3 linked regions of the Coturnix japonica genome follow. The protein of the gene in region 2 interacts with the protein of the main gene of each other region in a pairwise test. Links are inferred from orthologs where the notes say so. Each region holds a gene or a part of one and is shown on either strand. Other genes may lie near its edges.

What was found.
Region 1: the proteins of NAB2 (region 2) and TCHP interact in binary tests that used the Homo sapiens proteins (3 or more experiments, as listed by UniProt). The two-hybrid records come from large-scale screens. The link is inferred for Coturnix japonica from reciprocal best matches to the Homo sapiens genes NAB2 and TCHP.
Region 3: the proteins of NAB2 (region 2) and TCEANC interact in binary tests that used the Homo sapiens proteins (3 or more experiments, as listed by UniProt). The two-hybrid records come from large-scale screens. The link is inferred for Coturnix japonica from reciprocal best matches to the Homo sapiens genes NAB2 and TCEANC.

Annotation. Positions count from the first base shown.
Region 1 is NC_029530.1:5,974,039-5,980,294, reverse strand, and holds the start of TCHP (trichoplein keratin filament-binding protein), read right to left. Parts: upstream 3,908-6,256; 5' UTR 3,862-3,907; coding exon 3,499-3,861; intron 3,316-3,498; coding exon 3,259-3,315; intron 3,060-3,258; coding exon 2,991-3,059; intron 2,608-2,990; coding exon 2,434-2,607; intron 1,988-2,433; coding exon 1,875-1,987; intron 1,481-1,874; coding exon 1,414-1,480; intron 1,002-1,413; coding exon 829-1,001; intron 615-828; coding exon 533-614; intron 338-532; coding exon 152-337; intron 1-151. Other genes in the region: GLTP (glycolipid transfer protein), read left to right, coding at 4,593-4,695, 5,173-5,234, 5,331-5,464, 5,587-5,737, 5,949-6,131. UniProt on the Homo sapiens protein: Tumor suppressor which has the ability to inhibit cell growth and be pro-apoptotic during cell stress. Inhibits cell growth in bladder and prostate cancer cells by a down-regulation of HSPB1 by inhibiting its phosphorylation.
Region 2 is NC_029544.1:1,652,903-1,659,158, forward strand, and holds the start of NAB2 (NGFI-A-binding protein 2), read right to left. Parts: upstream 3,789-6,256; 5' UTR 2,980-3,788; intron 2,422-2,979; 5' UTR 2,414-2,421; coding exon 1,628-2,413; intron 1,543-1,627; coding exon 1,409-1,542; intron 1,018-1,408; coding exon 966-1,017; intron 815-965; coding exon 697-814; intron 614-696; coding exon 419-613; intron 122-418; coding exon 1-121. Other genes in the region: NEMP1 (nuclear envelope integral membrane protein 1), read left to right, coding at 4,515-4,581, 5,217-5,368, 5,459-5,678, 5,916-5,988, 6,252-6,256. UniProt on the Homo sapiens protein: Acts as a transcriptional repressor for zinc finger transcription factors EGR1 and EGR2. Isoform 2 lacks repression ability.
Region 3 is NC_029516.1:110,837,923-110,844,085, forward strand, and holds the start of TCEANC (transcription elongation factor A N-terminal and central domain-containing protein), read right to left. Parts: upstream 3,819-6,163; 5' UTR 3,800-3,818; exon of another isoform or gene 3,705-3,799; intron 3,688-3,704; exon of another isoform or gene 3,565-3,687; intron 3,045-3,564; exon of another isoform or gene 2,072-3,044; intron 995-2,071; 5' UTR 901-994; intron 1-900.

The sequences.
Region 1 (6,256 bases), on a different chromosome or scaffold from region 2:
CAGAACAAAGCCAGTGGCTGTGCAGACACCTGAACGTAAACAGCCAGGGAGGCTGCTGGTGCATTTGGGACCAGAAACATCCCTAACCTGTGTTAGTATCCTGCAACAGCATTTTCAATACTCAGCTATCTCTCTGAAAAGCATGCTATACCTGAGCTTCCAAGTCCTGTCTGTGAGCTATCTTCCGTTCCTTCTCTTGCTCTTTCTCTCGCCTTGTCAGTTCCTTTGCCTCCTCAAGTTCTTTAATCAGTTGCTCTCGATACTTTATAGACTCTTCTTGGGCCTGTCTGTTTAACTCCATCTTCTCCTGGATCTGGCGCTGTCTGCCTGCGAGGACCTGTGTGAAATGAGATGATTAAGAAAGAAGATAAGGAAGAGACCAGACATGGAAGCAAACTGTTATCAGAAAAATATATCAGGAGAACAGAAAGACTCGAATACAGAAGGCTGTGACCCTCTGGGGGTTGGAAGGTCACAACTGGAACAACAGCTTTGTCAGACCAAGAGACACCTCATTAAAAGAAGTCATCACCTCATTCATCAGGCGATCTCTGGCCATCTTCTCCTTTGCCCATTGTTCTTCCCTCTTCTCCCACATTTTTCTAGCTTCTTCCCTGAAGGTGAAAGAAAGATTCCTTTCTGAGGTTACTCCTTACTTAAATAAACAGGCACATTTCTACAACAGCAAGGCCTACCAGGCACCTCTTTTTAGTGTCCACCTCTAGATGATCACCTATTTAACAAACAGAAATGAGCTCTGCCACATAGAGAAGAACATCCAGCACATACATTCCCTTTTGACGATGTATAACAGAGCTGCATACACACCTATAAATAACCTGTAGCTCTGCCTCCCTCTCCTTTTCTAACTGGAGCTGTTCCTCAATGACATTTCTCATCCAGGCAGCGTCTGCAACAGCTCGCTCTCGTTTTTCAGCCTTGTGGCGCTGATCCTCCTCTTCTTTCTCAAGGATGGCTAATAAGATTTGTCTGTCTGTTTCCTTGAGGGGAAAAAAAACCCCTAAAGATTAATAACCATCCAGCGGGCTTCCAGCCTGTGTACTTTAGTACTCTGTACAAATCATTGGTGACATAGTGTCAAGGGTGTCCTCAGAAAGACACTCTGACTGCCTGCTTCTCTCTGATCTTTTCACTCCAGCCCTGTTCATAAGCCAGAAGAGGCCTCCTAACTGCTTATCTGTAGGCACTGGAGGCAGACACATACATGAAACACAACAAGTTCCTTCAGCAGGCAGTATCTACTCAGGGGTATGATTTAGTGGAGGGTTTTTAGAGTCAGGGTACTGGTTAGGGTGCGGTTGGACTTGATGATCTTCAAGATCTCTTCCAACCTGGGTAATTCTATGATTCTATTATCTATATTGCACAAATCAGAAGGTATTTTCCTCTTACCAGCTCGTCCTGTACCTCCTGGGCTCGTCTCTTTAACTGGGCATCATATTGATGCAACAAAAAGCGACTGAAGGAAGAAAACAAAACAAATTCAGACCATCTCTAACGCCCTATTATATTGTATACCAGCATTCAGACCATCTCTAAAGCCCTATTATATTGTATACCAGCATTCAGACCATCTCTAAAGCCCTATTATATTGTATACCAGCATTCCAGAAAGTGCATTTACAACATTAAAATACACAGAGGCAACAGAGATACCTGCTACCTCTAACACGAGCAAAAAGTAGCAATGGCACCAATGCATTTATGCTCAGTAGCTGTTCTTGCACTTCCAACAAAACAAGCAAGCATCTGCTGCCCACCCCTGCTATCTAAAACATCTCCTCCTGCTGCAAGTACTATCATGGTCACAGGAAGAGATCCCATCCACCACTGCTTAGAGCTACATTGCATACCCAAGCTCAGTCTTCTTCCGGCGCTCTTCCATTTGCTTTCTTTCTTCTTCTAAGTTTCCCAGCTCCCACTGCTGCTTTAATAAATCCTCTTGCTCTTTCTTCAGCTTGGCTGCCTAACATTTTTGAAAAGGAGAAACAAACAATAACCAAGTGAGTGCTTCAGAGAGCTAAGACATCCCAGTGAGCCTCAGTACCAGCTTGTACCACACTCATAATCGTGGTAGATACTCCACACCATTTGCATCCTACTGACTCACAGCATAAGAGAGAAGGTGAGGAGCTTCAGCTGAAAAAGCTACTGCAACCTCTCACACTGCAGTGTTTCTACATCCAATACAGCACAGAAGGGTGCCCACATTTCAAGAGGTGCAAATGAAGCCTACGAGATGTCATTTAACATGCCTGTATTCACAGAGAGATCTGCATTACAAAGCACAGCTGACTTTGTTCCAAATCTAATCTAGGGGGAAATCTGGAAGGAAGAGGTCAAGTCAGCATTGCTGTGTTTCCAAGTGAAGCAATGAACTTTCTTCCTACACAAGGAGAAGCTGAAGGTTACCTCTGCCTCCCGTAATTTCAGTTCTTCTATCTGTTGAAGCAACAGCTCCCCTTGCTTCTTGTTCTCCAGCTGACGTTTCTCTTCCTCTTGTCTCATTCTTTCCTCAGCTTCCCTTCGTGCCATTTCACATTCATTTTCAAGAAGCTTTCTCTCTCCTCGTTCCGTTGCTTGTTGCTTATTGAGCCAAAAGAAAGCATTGCATTTCAGGTTAGACTAAACTCAAAGGAACAGCCTGTGGTTCAGGAGATGCTCAAATCAGCTTCCAGGAAGCTGACACCTATTTGAAGGACACAGGATAAGATGTGCTAGGGAAGGAAATGAGAAAATGAGACTAAATAGATCTGTTCAGCAGATAACATTGGATTTTCTAGGAGATGAGATACTTCCCATCAACTCCAAGCATCCTGCAGACACCAGAACCTCGCACCACTATGGGAACAAGCAAGGCCAACTCAGTCACTATATAGTACAAAAGAAAACAAATAGCCAGCTCCTAGTCCAGGTAGTACAGGAATACCAGCTGCTTACAGCCCACATTTCATGCAGCTCCAACATACCTGCTGCTTCTGCTTCAGCTGCTCACCCCAGGACTCCACCACGTTCTTCTTGTGTAGCTCTGACTCCACCTGCAGAGAGTCAGCGCTGTCAGAGCCTTTTTCTATTGCCAGCACCTGCAGACACCCACAGTCAGGGGATGGTGCTGTGAGCACTGATGGAGCTGTGGGTGTCCCTGAGCACTGCAGGCAGTGGGAACAGATGGACTTTGGGATAAAGCACCCTTGGGATAAAGCACCCTTGTGGGGATCCCGTGCCGTGACTCCTCACCTCCCTCAGCTCCTCGCTGTTCTGTTTCCATCTCTCCCGCAGCAGCTTCTCGGCGACCTAAGCACACACAGCAGTGTCAGTATATGGGTCCCACACAGCAGTGTCAGTATATGGGTCCCACACAGCAGTGTCAGTATATGGGACACACACAGCAGTGTCAGTATATGGGTCCCACACAGCAGTGTCAGTATATGGGTCCCACACGGCCCAGCTCAGCCCCATCCCCCCCATATCTCTCACCTGCCTCCTTCTCTCCTCTCGTGCCGCCCTCAGCTCCTCACAGCGCTTCCTCATCCCTCCATGTTCCTCCATCCCGCCGGGCTCCGCTCGTATCTCGGCCTGTATTTCAGCCTCCAGCGCGTCCCGCTCAGCGCCCAGCATCTCCCTCAGTCTCTCCCTGCGCTTCCTCATCCCTTCCTCCTCACCCCGCCCCGTGCTCGTGCCGCCCGCATTTTGCGGCTCGCTCCAACGGGCCTGAGCGGAGCAGGAGAACGCGGCGAGCTGGAAGGAGCGGTTGTACGTGTCCCATTGCAGCCGGTTCTTCGCCTCCCTCTCCCGCTGCCGCTCCAGGGCCCGGCCCAGCGCCGGCCGCCACTGCGCCATCACTAGGCCCTAATGTAGGCCGCGAGGGTCACCATGGCAACGGGTACGGGGAGCGCCGAGGGACAAAAAGCATCGGGGTGAACGAATTGGCCTCGCGGGTCGGGATGAGGCCGCAATACATGAGCTGCAGTGCTTTAAGTATTAATGGAGCTGTGAATATTTCAGCACGGTGGAAGGTTTGTGTTTCCTGGCCCTGAGCACAGCTGGGCGCTGTCAGGAGTCGCCCCACGCCTCATTCAGCGCATCCATAGCGCCCATAGGTGTCCGGCTGTATGGAGCTGTAACGGGATGCGGACGGGCCTCGTGCTCAGCCCGGTTCGGCTCATTGAGCTCCGTCCATCGGGACACCGGCTGAATCATTCACTGCCACCCGATCGCAGCGCCCGCAGTGAGCCCGGTGGGACGGCTGTGATTGCACCATAGGCACTGGGTGCTCCATAGGCACAGCGGACACCCCCCACCCCATCGGTTCGGGCTGGGGGTCCCGGTCCGGTCCCGGTCGATACCGGGATGGGCGCACACCGTAAGCCCCGCCCACATTGAGACAAGCCCCGCCCACCTCTACCATAAGCCCCGCCTACTCACCCGGACAAGTCCCGCCCTCTCATTCCTATTGGCCGCCTCTCGGTGGGCCGTGCTCACCCATTGGTTGGCTTCATTGATGGGCGTGTCTCGGCGTGGCGCGCTACCGGGTCGGTGCCGGGTCGGTTCGGTCCGTGCCGGGTCGGTTCATGGCGCTGCTATTAGAGCACGAGTTCCGGCCGCTGCCGGCGGACAAACAGATCGAGACGCTGCCGTTCCTGGAGGCCGTGTCCCACCTGCCGCCATTCTTCGGTAAGAGCTGGGCCAGGGGCTGTGGAACCTGCCGGACCGGGACCGGACCGAACCGGGACGCCGCCACCCGCGGGCACGGAACGCTCAGCAACACCAGCCCCGTCCGGTCCCGGGATCCCATTATAGGGTCCCACACCCCCCCAAGCTTCCACCCCCGCCCCGGTTCCGGTCCCGGTCCCGGTCCGCACCCCCCGGTCCCGCCCCCGGTCCCGCCCCAGTTGCGTCAGGGCCGGGTGTGGCGGCTCGTCCCGTCCGACCCGCTGAGCGACAGCGTTAGGAAACGGCCCGACCCAACCCCCGGGGTGTACAGGGATGGAACGGGGCCGAACGGGACAGAACGGGATAGAACGGGATAGAATGGGGCAGAACGGGACAGAACGGGGCCGAACCTCCGCTCCATACAATGCGCCATTGTACGGAGCCATACGGGGACAGCCGGGCACGGGGCGAAGCCATTGTGACCCCCTGTCCCCGCAGATTGCCTGGGGACACCCATCGTGTACTCACCCGTCAAAGCCGACCTGGCTGGGAACATCAAGGTATGAGGTTGTGGGGGGGGTCACCACCCCATGTACAGCACTGCAGGACCCGGCTGTGGGTGCCCACCTTGACCCCAAACCTCTGTACCCTTATAGAAGATCCGGGCTGTTTATGAGTCCAACCCCAGCAAGTTCAAAACGCTGCAGAACATCCTGGAGGTGGAGAAGGAAATGCACGGTGCTGCATGGCCTAAGACCGGAGCCACGCTGGCGCTGATGTGGCTGAAGAGGTGATTGATTGGGTTGTTATATCGCCCCTAATGTGGGGCTGGGGGTCGTGTAGGGCTCAGGGTCAGAGTGTCACCCCACAGCGGGTTTGGGGTCACGGTACCAGCCTCCTTCTCCCTGGCAGGGGCCTGAAGTTCATGCTGGTGCTGCTGCAGAGCATCTCCGATGGCGAGCGGGATGAGGAGCATCCCAACCTCATCCGTGTCAATGCCATGAAAGCCTATGAGATTGCCCTCAAGAAATACCACGGCTGGATGCTGCAGAAGCTTTTCATGGTGAGAGCCGGGGCAGGGGGTCATAGAACCATTAAGGTTGGGAAGGACCTCTGAGATGAGCCATCCTCTCCATGCCATGTCTCTAAGGTGCCATAAGCTGCTGCTCATGGGGTCACCCCGCTGTGGGGTGGGCAGTGGGACATGGGGGTCCCATTGGCTTTTGGGCATCCCCACAGCCAAGGCTCAGCTCTGCTCTCACCCCATCCCACAGGGCTCGGTCTATGCGCTGCCCTACAAGTCAGATCTGCTGAAGGCTTTGGAGAAAGGCAGAGAGGTGAAGGAGGAGGAGAGCATTGAGAAGATCCACCAGTTCCTCACCAGGGTGACTCCCATCCTGGATGCCATCTATGAGATGTACACCCGGATGAACGCCGAGCTGAGCTACAAAGCTTAATGGGGTCAGAGCAACAAGCGGGGCCGCTCCGCTCCTCAAACCCCATCCTGCTGCGGATCTGCACCCGACAGGCCTTTTTTTCTAACAAGAATCATTCATTTTCTATCGAAATTCAAGCAATAAAC
Region 2 (6,256 bases):
TGGGGGGGGTCAGGGGGGGCCTTCACTGCCGGCTGTTTCTCCTGCTCCACCTTGATGGTGCCGGCGGGGGGGGTCTGGGGGGGGGCGGGGGGCCGCGCTCTGCCAATCCAATCCTCGAACTCTGTGGGGAGAGAGGGGTCAAAAACCCCACTGAATGAGGGGGGGGGGTCAAGCACAACCCACCAGCCCCCGATGGGCTCGCAATGGAGAGCGGGGGTGGGGGGCTCACCAAGGGGCGGGGGGCTCCATGATGGGGCCAGGGGGGCCTCATGATGGGGCGGTGGGGGCTCACAAGGGCTCATGATGGGCACACCTGGGGGTCTCCCAATGGCTGGGGCTCACATTGGGGGGGGGGTTTCACTTGGGGCTCCTCTGGGGGCTGGGCGGGTCAACAGTGGGCGGGGGGGGGGGGTCTCACCTGGGGGCTTCCCAGGCAGGCAGGGGCTGAGCCGCCCCACTCGTTCGTGGGAGACCAATCTCGCCAGGCGCAGCCCCTCGTCCATCAGCGTCTGCTGCAGAATGTGACGGCTCCAAAGCCCGTGCGGGGGGAGCGCGATGGGACCATCGGGGGCAACGCCGGGCGGGGGGGTCAAACGGGGACACAGCCCCACCGCTGCGAACAGACGGAAAGGGTCACAGCCCGGGGAGGGGGGAATAGGGGAGGGGGCGGCCCCGCGGTGCCCCCCACTCACTCACCCTGCCCGTCCAGGCTGTCTGCGGCCGCTCCCCCCGCATCCTCCTCATTGCGATAAGGGGCTGCGTGAAGCTCCGATCCCATTGAGGGGGGGGGGTCGGGGCGGCTCTGCTCCCCCACCTGCACGGAGCACACGGGTGAACACCGGGCTCCCCCCCCCCCCCGAGCCGTCACACCTACACGTGGGCGGCCGCTGCCCACGCTCACAGCTGTGCATGCACGCACACGCGTGTGCCCCCCCCCGATACACGCATCCCCCCCCCGCACCCACCTCCTGTTTGAGCCGCTTGGCCGCGCCGGCCCCGCCGTCCTCGGGCTGCGCCCTGTGCGGGTGGGAGCACAAAGGGCTGCGTCAGTGCGGGGGCAGCACCGCACGGTTCCCCCCCCCCACTCACGTTATGGGGCGGTGCTGTGGGGCACAGCGGGGTCTGGTACAGATGGAACCGGGGCGGGGGGGGCAGGGGGAGGGAGCAGAGCAGCGCCAGCTTATGGAGGTGGGGGGGGGGAAAGGAGCTCGGGACTGGGGGCTCCAACAGCATCCCCTGTGCTGTGCCCCCCCCCCCAACACACACACATTGAGGCACCAAACTGCCTCAGCAATGGAAAGGGGAACTCGCAGCCCCCACCCCCGCCCGGAATTGCCGGTGGTGCAGCTCCCATAGGGGAAACCCCCACTGGGGGGGGGGGGGGATGCTGAGGGCCCCCCCTGCTCACCTGGACACCTTGAGCGAGGACAGGTAGGTGCTCTCCCTCGCGACCTGTCGCGACAGCGAGAACAGCTCGACGCGCCGCAGCAGCAGCGAATTGTCCCGCAGGCAGAACTGAGCCGCAGCCTCGTTAATGATGAGCTGCGGGGACAGAGCCGTCAATAGCACCGAGGGGGGGGGTCACAGCGAGCCCCCAGCCCAGCCCGACCCCCACCCCGCCCCCCACCTCGTGCAGTGTCAGCTGTTTGCCCTCCCTTCGCCGCGCATCCCCTCGCCCGTAGATCGCGCTGTGCCGTCGGATCTCCTCCTCCTTGTGCCGGTCTCCGTCTTCCAGTTGGAAGATGTGCCCCACGGCTTTGGCCAACTTCTTATTGAGCTTCAACAGAGCCCGCAGCTCCGCGTCCCCCCCCCGGGGGCAGCTCTGCAGCAGCCTCTCCACGCTCTCCGTCACCGTCCGCACCAACTCCGGTTCCAACACATCGCCCCCCGACGGCTGCTCGGCGCCCCCCGGTGAGAACGGAGGAGCTCCGGGCTCCTCATCCCCTCCACCCTCCGATTCCGGGGTGCTCCTCCCCGGCCACGGCGACACCCCCGACGGCGACAACTTCTCCGACGGCTCCGTTGGGCTGCGGGCTGGGGGCGTCCCCGCGTTGCCCCCCCCTTTCCCCGCAGTTTCTCCGGGGCTGCTGTGCCCGTTACTGAGCGATTTGCGGCCGTCGTTCAGCTTGAAGAGGGGGATGCTGCTGACGGGCACGGCCGGTACCGGCTGGCTGAAGAGCCCCGGGTTGGACGCCCACTCCCGCAGCGCTTTCTGCAGTCGGCGGACGTGCAGCGGTTTGGTGGCCATTCCCACCAGCGCCATGATCTCTAAGAACTCCTCCTCGCCAGCCTCGCAAAGCTGCTGCACGTCGTCCCCTCCTTGTTGGATGAAGGTCTCGTAGTAACCCAGCAGGTTGGCACGTTGAAGAACCCGGTACAGCTGCAGCTCCCCCAGCGTGCGGGGCACGGCCATGGTGAAGCCTATGGGACAGACGGACGGACGGCGTGACGGGGGAAGGACGGACGGACGGACCCCCCCCACCCCCACCCACCTTTTGGCCTGGGGTCTCCACTGAGCATCCACAGCTGCACCGACCCCAACACAAACACGAGTGGGTCCCCATTGAGGAGCTTGGAGACCCCACACCCCGTGGCCCCACCCGTGCTCCCACCCCATGGGGCACCGCTTAGGGCAGAGCACACCCAGGGCTGCCCCAGTCCTTCTCTACCCCACGGGGACAGCAAAGTCTCAGCCCCCCCCTCTTTGGCCCCTACAGACCCCACCTTGCACCCAGGCCCACGCGTGCTCACTGATCAGGCTGGACCCCACACCCGCATCCCCCCTGATCCCAACACAGACACGAGTGGGTCCCCACGGCAGAACCATAAACCCCCCCCCACCATTCCCACATCACGAACCCACTCGTGCCCCCACCCCACGTGCAACAAAACACACCCAGCTCTACCCCAACCCCACGGGGACACCGATGTCACGACTCACCCTCCGACCCCCCCCCCGTTTCCCTCCCGTTCTCTCACCGCGGGCTGCAGCCCCGTCCGGCCGCTACGCGAACCCCGTGGGCATGGACGGACGGTACCGGGGGGCTCGGGGGGGTGTTCGGGGGTCCCGATTCCGGGCCGTGCTCGTTCGCTCCGCCGAGTCGCTCCGCTCTGCGCGCCGCCCACACGGGCGGTACCGAGAAATAGCAGCGGCCCCGGCTGCGGCTGCGGCGTGGGAGGCTCCGGAGGCGGAACCCGCGGCTGCCGCCCCCGCTGAGCGCGGCGTGGGAGGATGAAACGGGGGGGGGGGAACCGTAGGACCGCCCCATCCCCCCCCCTGAACCGAACCGGGACGGAGGGAGCGGCTGCGAGCAGGGCGGAACCGGGGGGTCCCGTCGGGCAGAGCAACGTGAAGACACGGGGGTTGGGGGTCCCGGGCAGGGGCTCGAGCAACCGGAGCCTACGGGGGGTGGGGGGGGGACACCGTATGTGAGTGGGATCACGGCTGTCACCGTGTCGGTGCCACCTCCCGGTTATGGGATCGCAGCCGGGTCCGGGCACCGGGTGGGGGGGGGGCTTCAGAGCGAGCAGCCCCGGGACAGAGCGGGTCCGGTTCGGTTCGTGGGAGGGGAGGAATTTCTCTGCCATCGCCCCCCCCCCCCCATGCTGAGCCCGGCTCTATTTATACCGAGCCGGCGCCGCCGCCCCCGCGGCCCCTGCCCCGCGTGGGGGGGGGGGACACGACAGCGCCGCGTTCCGGAGCCGTCGGGGGGAGGTGGGGGGGGGTCCCGTTCGGAACAGCCCATATAGAGCCCATATAGAGCCCATATATTCCGAACCCCATATAGACCCCATCTATGTCCGAATCCCTAAGACCCCCCCCCCAGGGCCATGCATGTCCAACCCCCCCCCCCCCCTCGTGTCCGGCCGCCCCCGTTTGACGCACATCCTCCACCACGACCCGCACGCTTCCGGCTCCGCCGCCCACTGACCCGGGGGCCGGCCCGTGAGCCCGACCCGCCCACGGAATGCCGAAGAGCCCAAGGGTATTGGGGGGGGGGGGTTAACAAGCCCGGGATCCAGCCCCTACGAGCCACCCCCCCCCCAGTGTGGGGTCCAATGAGCATCGCGCTGCCTCTGCCCGCTGTAGACCCCCCCCCCCAAGCAAAACAACGACGGTGCGCTCCGTGAATAAGGTGGAGGAGCTTGTCAATCAAGCCGGCTTGGTGGCGAGGGAGGGAGAAAACGATGCTGAGCGGCTGATTGGTTGAGGTGGGCTTGCTCTGTCCAAGCTCGTTGCTAAGGCGGGCTGCGTTGCCTACGGTGTGGGATGGCTTCGGGAGCGAGTGGAGCACGTTGGTGGAGTGTGGGTGGGGCTAAATCCGCATCCTGCCTAGGCTGTGCTGATAGGTCGAGCGCGCTGTCAATCAACACGCAGGGAGACGATAATCCCGTCACGGGTTGATGACGTCAGGCAAGCCTCGCTCTCTCATTGGGTGTTGTCCCGTGGGGAAAGCGGAAGCGGAAGTCGCCGGGAACGCCATGGCGGGAAAGCGGATGAAAGCGGTGCCAATATGGCGGGCGGGGCCTGGTCGTGTTTCTTGCTGCTCCTCGCGCTGCCTCCTCCGCCGGGCGGGGCCGGTGAGCGGCGGGCGGAACAATGGGCCTTTATGGGCTGAGAGCGGGCGGGCCTAGTGGGGGCCTATAATGGAGTCATAGAGCGGCCATAGCCTGGATCCGGCTTTAGAGTCTCGGGTGGGGATGGCGGGGGGTTGGGGTCTCCGGGTTTGGGGGCCTGGTCCGGTGTAAGGGCTCTGGTTGTGGGCTGGGGGAATGCGGTGGAGATGGGGGGTGGTGGGGGTCCCCGGGTGAGGGCGGGACTGGGGGGAACCAGGGGGATGGGAGATGGAGAATGGAGATGGAAGATGGGGGGGGGGAGTGAGTATGGTCCGGGTTGGGGTCTGTGTGGGGCTGGGGGAAACGGGGGGGAAATGGATGAGATGGGGGAGAGGGGTTGGGGGTCTCGGGTTGAGGGCTGTCTGGGTTAAGGGCGGTGTGAGATGGGGGGATGGAGAGTGCGAGAATGGGGGGGTGTTGAGGGTGCCGTTGGTTGGGGGTCCTGTGTTGGGGTCCTGGTTAAGGGGTGGTCCTGCCTCCATGTGCACCCAATGGGGCCCTTTGGGGGGGAGCAGCCCGCAAATGGGGAGGGGGTGTTGGGGGGGGGGGGTCTCGCATCGCTATTGTGTTAATTCTTCCTTCCTTTCTGTGCTGTGAAGATGCCGGTGGGATGGGGACGGTGCTGGGGAAGGGGCTGGAGGAGGTGACCCCGCTGCAGGAGGGCTCCGCGTTCTGCCATGACGCCTCCCATCATTTCTGCTACACCAACACACGCAGCCCCAGCTGGAAGGACATCTGGACCAGGATGCAGGTGAGGGGGGAAAGGAAAGGAGGGGAGGTGGGCTCTCATTGTACCATAGAGCTGAGCCCACCCCGTGTGTGTTTTCTCCCCCCCCCTTAGATCAGGGTGAACAGCAACCACATGATCCGCGTCACCCAGGTGGGCAGCGAGGAGGAGCTGAGGGAGCTGGAGGAATCCAAGGTTTGGAGCTTCCTCTCCTCGCTGCTGAAGGAGAAGCTGAACAGCACCAACATCGACGTGGATCTTTACAGCAACAAAACCTGCCTGAAGGTCGAGCTGCTGGAGGCTGGGACCAGATACTGCATCGTGCTGACCCGCTGTACGTCTGCTCTGTGCTTGGGCTGTGGGTCCTCCCATAAGGGACAGCAAGTTTGTTTTGTTGCATACAAAGAAAGATGGGTTTGTAGAGGAGGAACACTTCACTTCCTTGGGATAGAGAATAGGAGCACAGTGTACTTGACAGGGCTTTGCCTTGGGCATTGCCCCACCTTGCTTGCTGTCAGTGTATCAGGATGGAGCTTGCACTCCTCCTAACCTGGGTTTGTTCTCCTTCCAGGGTTTGACCCCAAACTGTTCCTGGTTTTCTTCCTGGGCCTGTTGTTGTTCTTCTGCGGGGACATGCTGAGCAGGTGAGTGGCCTCCTGTCCCCTGTGAGCTGGATTTGCAGGCTGACTCCTTTGTGTGGGTACTGTGGGAAGGCAGAGTATTTCTATCAGCTTCTCTATGCCTGCAGGGCTGGCCAGGCCAGGCCTCACTCCATGAGCTTTATGGGGCTCTATGCAATTCCCTCATGGATGTTTGGGAACGTGGGGTGCCTTTCTGTTGGTTCCAGCCAGCAGATGTGCTTGTGCCCATCTTATAAGCTATGAAATACCTTGTGTGATCTCTGCAGGAGCC
Region 3 (6,163 bases), on a different chromosome or scaffold from region 2:
AAGGTCACTTGCACTTGGAAACTGATGCAAGGCCAGATACACACACGCACATTTGAAGGAACTCACAAGTAGATTTCTTGCACCATCACTATTTCCATGATGAAATCTCCCAGGAAGGGGGGAAAGAAGAGGAAGAAAGAAAGCTGGACAATTTGCACATTTCGCAGCTTTCAGTTGTACTATGCATGCCAGAAATAAGTTTAAACATTAGGTAGGGCCTTGGAGCTCAAAAGAAAAGAAGGACAAGACAGCGAGGATCAACTTTCATTATGTTTCTACAAGCACAGACGACAGACCAGCCTGACCTCCATAGCAAACGCTGTCTGCTTTCACTTCACTTGTCTTGAAACGGCTCATTCTTGCCTGACATTTTGAAGCCCCGTGAGAGCTCAAATAATGTTTATAACAGAAATTATTTTTCTAAAGCAGTTTCAGAAACAGAGAGAAAACAGAGATACGCTTTTTCAAATATATTTGTAAAACTGTAAAATAAAATAAAATAAAGCACCTATAGCCAAATCCTTCCTCATTTGTTCTGGTAACCAACCACAGAGTCTGTAAGAGTGGAAAGAATTGTTTTCTTAAGCAGGGTGGCCATGGTTACAGCAGGACAGCTCCCCATCTCCCAAACATTCACCTTCTAGTAGTCTGTCTTGGATTAGATAAATATAATATATATGTTCTACCTTAAGACTTTTTCCCACAGTAATGCAGTGGTTAAATTCCTAGAAATCCTAAGATCTCCATAGTGGTGCATTTACTTTTTCAAGCTTATCCAACAGCAAATTCAAGTAAAGGTTATGGTTGCAGCTGAACAAAAATGGATAACAGAATGTGGGCATGAAAATATAGAAGTTTAAAACTAATTTTGGAAATTCAGTTAGCCACTAAACTACTCACGTTTATGTCCAAACAATCACTTCTGAGGAAGTGCTTTCCTCAGCTCGTATGACAAACAGCAAAGAGAACTGGGTGACCCTCTTACTCAGCAGAACTGTGTGAAAGGAAAAAAAGTCATCAAAACACATGACAAGACCAGAATTGAAATCTGTAATTAACATCTTCAGCGGAGTGGGATATTCATTATCTGCAAGTAGAAACACAAGAAACAACCAGCAGGGAAACAACCAAGTAAAAGTAATAAGTATGCCTTCATCAATGACAAATGAGAAGAAGGGTTTCTGAAGAGAAAGCATTGTACACACAGCACGGCACTGCTTTGCTGTGTGTACCCAGTTTTCAAAAGACCTTAAAATACTTCAAGCTGAAAAGTGATACATACCCATAACCATAAAGTATTCCACTACCTAGACAATCACAGATTTCATCTCAGCTTCCATATTAAAAGGCAGTGTGATGAGAAACTAAAAATGCTGTTTTTGCACTGCTGCTCTGTAAGACAAGTGGCAATTGGATTTTAATCACCAAGGCTGATGTTGAGAACAAGCACAAACCCAGTACATTTTAAAACTTCTGGCTTCCTTCAAAGGTTGAGGCAGAGTGTTTAACACAGGGAATCCTGCAGAGCATTTCATATTAAGTCAGTATGTCAAGGAACATTTCTAGAATCCAGATACAAGTAAATACTCTGAGTCTACTGCATGTTTTCCATGTTCTTAGAGGGAGAAACAAAGAATTACTGATGCAGTGGCAACACTGGAGGGTATTTTCTAGCCAAAGTTCACATTGAACCTAAGCAGAGTAAGCCTTTCTTTCTTTCTTACTCACACATTCGTTGAACACTGATGTTTCTGCTGTGTAACAGGGCTTTGATGTTTTGCAGCATAATGGCAAAACCAAAAATCTACAGCCTATGTTCTTCTCCCAGGTACATGAATACTTTCTTTGGTTGTTTTGTAGATGGAATTCTGTAAGCTTGTTCTAATCTAGGGAACAGTCAGACACCCTGCATGCCGCCAAGGGGTTGTTGTTTTTTCTGCTGTCAGATATGCAAAAGCACTGATTGAAGCAAGTTATTCAGCAAATAGGAAAACAGAAGTCTAAAACAACTGCTGGTAGTCTACAAATATCCATTATTAGTTATGAAGCTTACACAATGAAACTTACTCACCTCTCTGGAGCATGGCACAACAGTGAGGTGGTGGAGTTGGCTGCAGTTTTAAATGGGAAAATGTTTTACCACTTGAGGGGGCTGTAGTACAGCAAACCCATGCAGCCTTGTGTAATAGTGCACAATGAGAAAGCCCAGCCTTGGGGATAAAACGATTTCCCTATGGCCTTTAGGAAATTTTACATTTTTAAGATACCTATTTGCATAATATTTGGCAAAATAAACCCTCAAAAAACAAACAAACAAACAACAACAACAACAACAAAACACCCTGTAGGCCCAAAGGTGCCTGGTCACAGACTGGAGGGAAGGTTTTAATCCCTCATCCAGTCTTTGTGCCATACACTGTTTTTTCATCCGACATTTAAAACATTTGGAATTTTACCACTACCCCACTTGATTTAATGCTATTTGGCAAATGCTGCTGAACAAACAGTCAGCAGTTTTCTGCTGTCTTCCTTGTTCCAAGAAGTAACACAAGGCATTTCCATTCTGCTTAATTTCAGCAAAGTATGGGAACATCCATCTGAATTCTAAGTGAAGATAGAAACTGGTTTGCATTTTCAATTAGGCTCTGTAATACTGTGCTGCTGAGGTACTTTCTTGCCAAATCATTACCATCTCTCACACTTGACCACATGGCATAATGAGTCACTGCATGTACAAGAATTAGCAATGGTGATCAATAAAAATCTAGTAAGTCAGTTTGCTTTTAAGGAGAAAACAAACAAACAAACAAAAAAATAAATAAAACAGACTACCTCAGGTTTGAAATACAGTCATCCCAAAACATTGTACTGAATCCAAAGGTTTTAAAAATGAAAATCACTGCATGGGGGAAAAACAAACAAACAAACCAGTGTGAGAGATTTTCTGCTAACTAATCATAGAATGATAGAATGGCCTGGGTTGAAAAGGACCACAATGGTCATGTAGTTTCAACCCCCCTGCTATGTGAAGGGTCATCAACCACCAGACCAGGCTGCCCAGAGCCACATCCAGCCTGGCCTTGAATGCCTCCAGGGATGGGGCATCCACAACCGCCTTGGGAAACCTGTTCCAGTGCATCACCACCCTCTGTGTGAAAAACTTCCTCCTCAGATCTAACCCAAATCTCCACTGTCTCATTTTTAAAACTAAGAAGCTAACCCTTGGGGAAAAAAACCTGCCCTCTCCAAAATCATTTGGGGTAAGTGCCTTGCTCCAGCCATACACCTTCACAGATTCAAAACCATAGTCCACTTTTCCTTAGTGCAGAAAACTTCCACTGATAAACCAAGACAGAGTAAAAATGCATCCAAGTCCATTTCCCCTCTTCCTGTCACCTGTCACACACTGACTGACGCCTCTTCTTCCCCCAACCGGGCCCGCCCAGCACCCATCCCGCGGTGCTCGGACACTGCGCCAGGCCCCACCGCCTCCCTCGGCCTCACCCTCGAGCAATATCGGTTAAGAGAAAGCTGTGTCGCTGGGGAATATGCAGCAATACGGACCCGTACCCCGTTACCTCCGCGCTGGGCCTCAATGCGGCGCAACCCTCCCCACCTCCCAGGCCGCGCTGCGCTCCGCCATGTCTGCGAGCGGGCCGGGTAGGGGGGGGGGGCAGCGCGGCCTGGTGCCGGCGGGACCCGGGGGGAGCAATGCCACGGCCTTTTATTCTTTCGCATGCATTGTACGCAGAGTATTCACAGTGATTCTGGGAAAGATGTGTATTTCTGGCAAACTTACGGGCGTATGATAGGGTTTATTCGCAATTACGGTGAAAATCCGTATGATTTTTACGTAAATGAGCTTGGTTTTATTCACTGATGAGGCCTATGCTGCCCTCTACTGACAAGAAAGGCTCCTGCCTCTTACCAAGGACGATTCCCAGGCAGAAACAGCCCTTTTGGTAAATACGTGAGTGACGTAATGCTTTTACAGTGGTCAACCTCGTTCCGTGTATTATACACAACTGGTTACGCAGTTGAAGTCAGGCTTCCTTTTTTGCCTTGTTTTTGTGCAGCAACAAAGTGTGGGACAAGTCTGAAGTTGTACAGAAGAGGAGCTGAAAAACTGGAAGAAGACAGCATGGCTTTTCAGAACTGGCGCAGTCTTCCTTTAGCAGGGAAGACACAAGGAGCATGATTAGCCCTGTGTGAGGAGTCTTCCCAGGAACAGAGATCAGAACAAAGGATGCCACTATTTGAGGGAGGTTCCTTACTCACAGCCTTCTCCATTAAACTATGTTTGGTCTAATTAATCACTGTTCCAGAAAATATAGGGGCTGGAGCATCTCTCTTATGAGGAAAGGCTGAGTGACCTGGGTCTGTTCAGCCTTGAGAATAGACTGAGAGGGGATCTGATCAATGTCTATAAATACCTAAGGTGCGGGAGGCAAAGGGATGAGGCCAGACTCTTATCAGCAATGTGTGGTGATAGGACAAGGGGAAATGGTCACAAACTGAAACATAGGAAGTTACGTACAAATGTGTGTAAGAACTTCACAGTAAGGGTGACAGAGCACTGAACCAGGCTGCTCAGACAGGTTGTGGATTCTCCTCTGGAGATGTTCAAGACCCACCTGGACTCTTACCTGTGCAGCCTGATCTATGGAGCCTGCTTTGGCAGGGGGGTTGGACTAGAAAAGTTCTAGAGGTCTCTTCTAGCCCCTACAATTCTATGATTCTGCAATAATGCTTTTTCAGTTACTCCTAAGTAAACCAAGGGATAAACATGATATACTTGTTATATTCATATACTTGTGTAATGGTATATATACATATCTTTGTGTTTTTGCAGGGTTTTCCAGGATAAAATCAGTGCTACAGTAACAGCTTGCTTTCCTTGAGATTTCAATGTTGGCTGTGCTAAGTATCTACTTCTCTAAAAAGAATAGACTTCTATTAAACAAGATAAGATACTCTGCCAGCTGATAAATTGTTAAATATCCACAGAAATATTTGGGAAAATGTTGGTTAGACAATTGGTGAACAGTTAATCTGTGCCATCAGACAAGAAACTTGCAAGATTGCCACAATGATTACTTTGTTTATTAACTTAGATGTACATTTATGAAAGAGTTTGCAGTTCCTGAGAACAGTGCAATAATAGAATCACAGAACAATGTGTTTCCTTTTAATGAAATAGAAATCTTTCTTCTAACAGTTCTGAAGATGTTGTGTATTGGTCAAGCATTAGCAGTGAAATTTTGCAGAGATGTACTCCCATTCAACAAACATTTATAGTGGAATTATTTGAAAGAAAATATGTATGAATTCCTTTAAAACCTTCTTCCTTCAATTTGTTTCCCAAAGGATGTGCTTTAGACTGTCCTTATTATTGCCTATTCTTGGAGTTGTAACAATTGACTCTTCAGAACAGCCCAGACAATATGTGTTCTGGCAGAAGGGCTGATGGACAGGCATTTCCTGTAAAATCCCTAGACACAAGCTCCAAAGCTGTGGTTTGAACTTTCTGAAACCTTGCGTACAGGTAATGGGAGCAGCTGTTTCCAATGAAATGGAATTGGGGAGATTATATCCTTCCTGAAGACCTGAAAGAGAACTGGTAAGTGATCACTTGCTAGAATCGCTTCTAGTGGGGGAGGCTAACTTAAGTTCTGCCCTTGGTAACAGTACTGTAGAGCAAAGTGTCTGTAATGAAATCAGAAGAGTACAAAACGTGGCTGAGAACAGCTACCACAAGCTACACAAACATGGCTAAGAATTTGTCTCCGTATTTTCATCAGAAAGCTTAAGCACCAAAGTTGTGGTAAATGGTAAAAAAAATACCCTTGCTTCCTGACTGAAAATCAAGAAATGACGGAATTACAAATATTGATACTAAAGATACAATTAATCACATAGAGAACTGTAGTCTTTATTATTATTAATACTTCTTACAGCATTCTCTGTAGGTTTGCAAAGTGTTGAATTGGCTGCAGCGTAGTTTTGTATTAAATCCCTCTGATAGCATGACTGTAAAAGTCAAATGAGAGGTGGCAAAAGTTCAGACACTCGTTATTGTCATAGCTCCAGAGGTGTCAACAGAGTTTTGGCATCCAAGTTTAGCACCAGCATTCCATCTACAGCCAGCAGAAAGCAGGGGAGT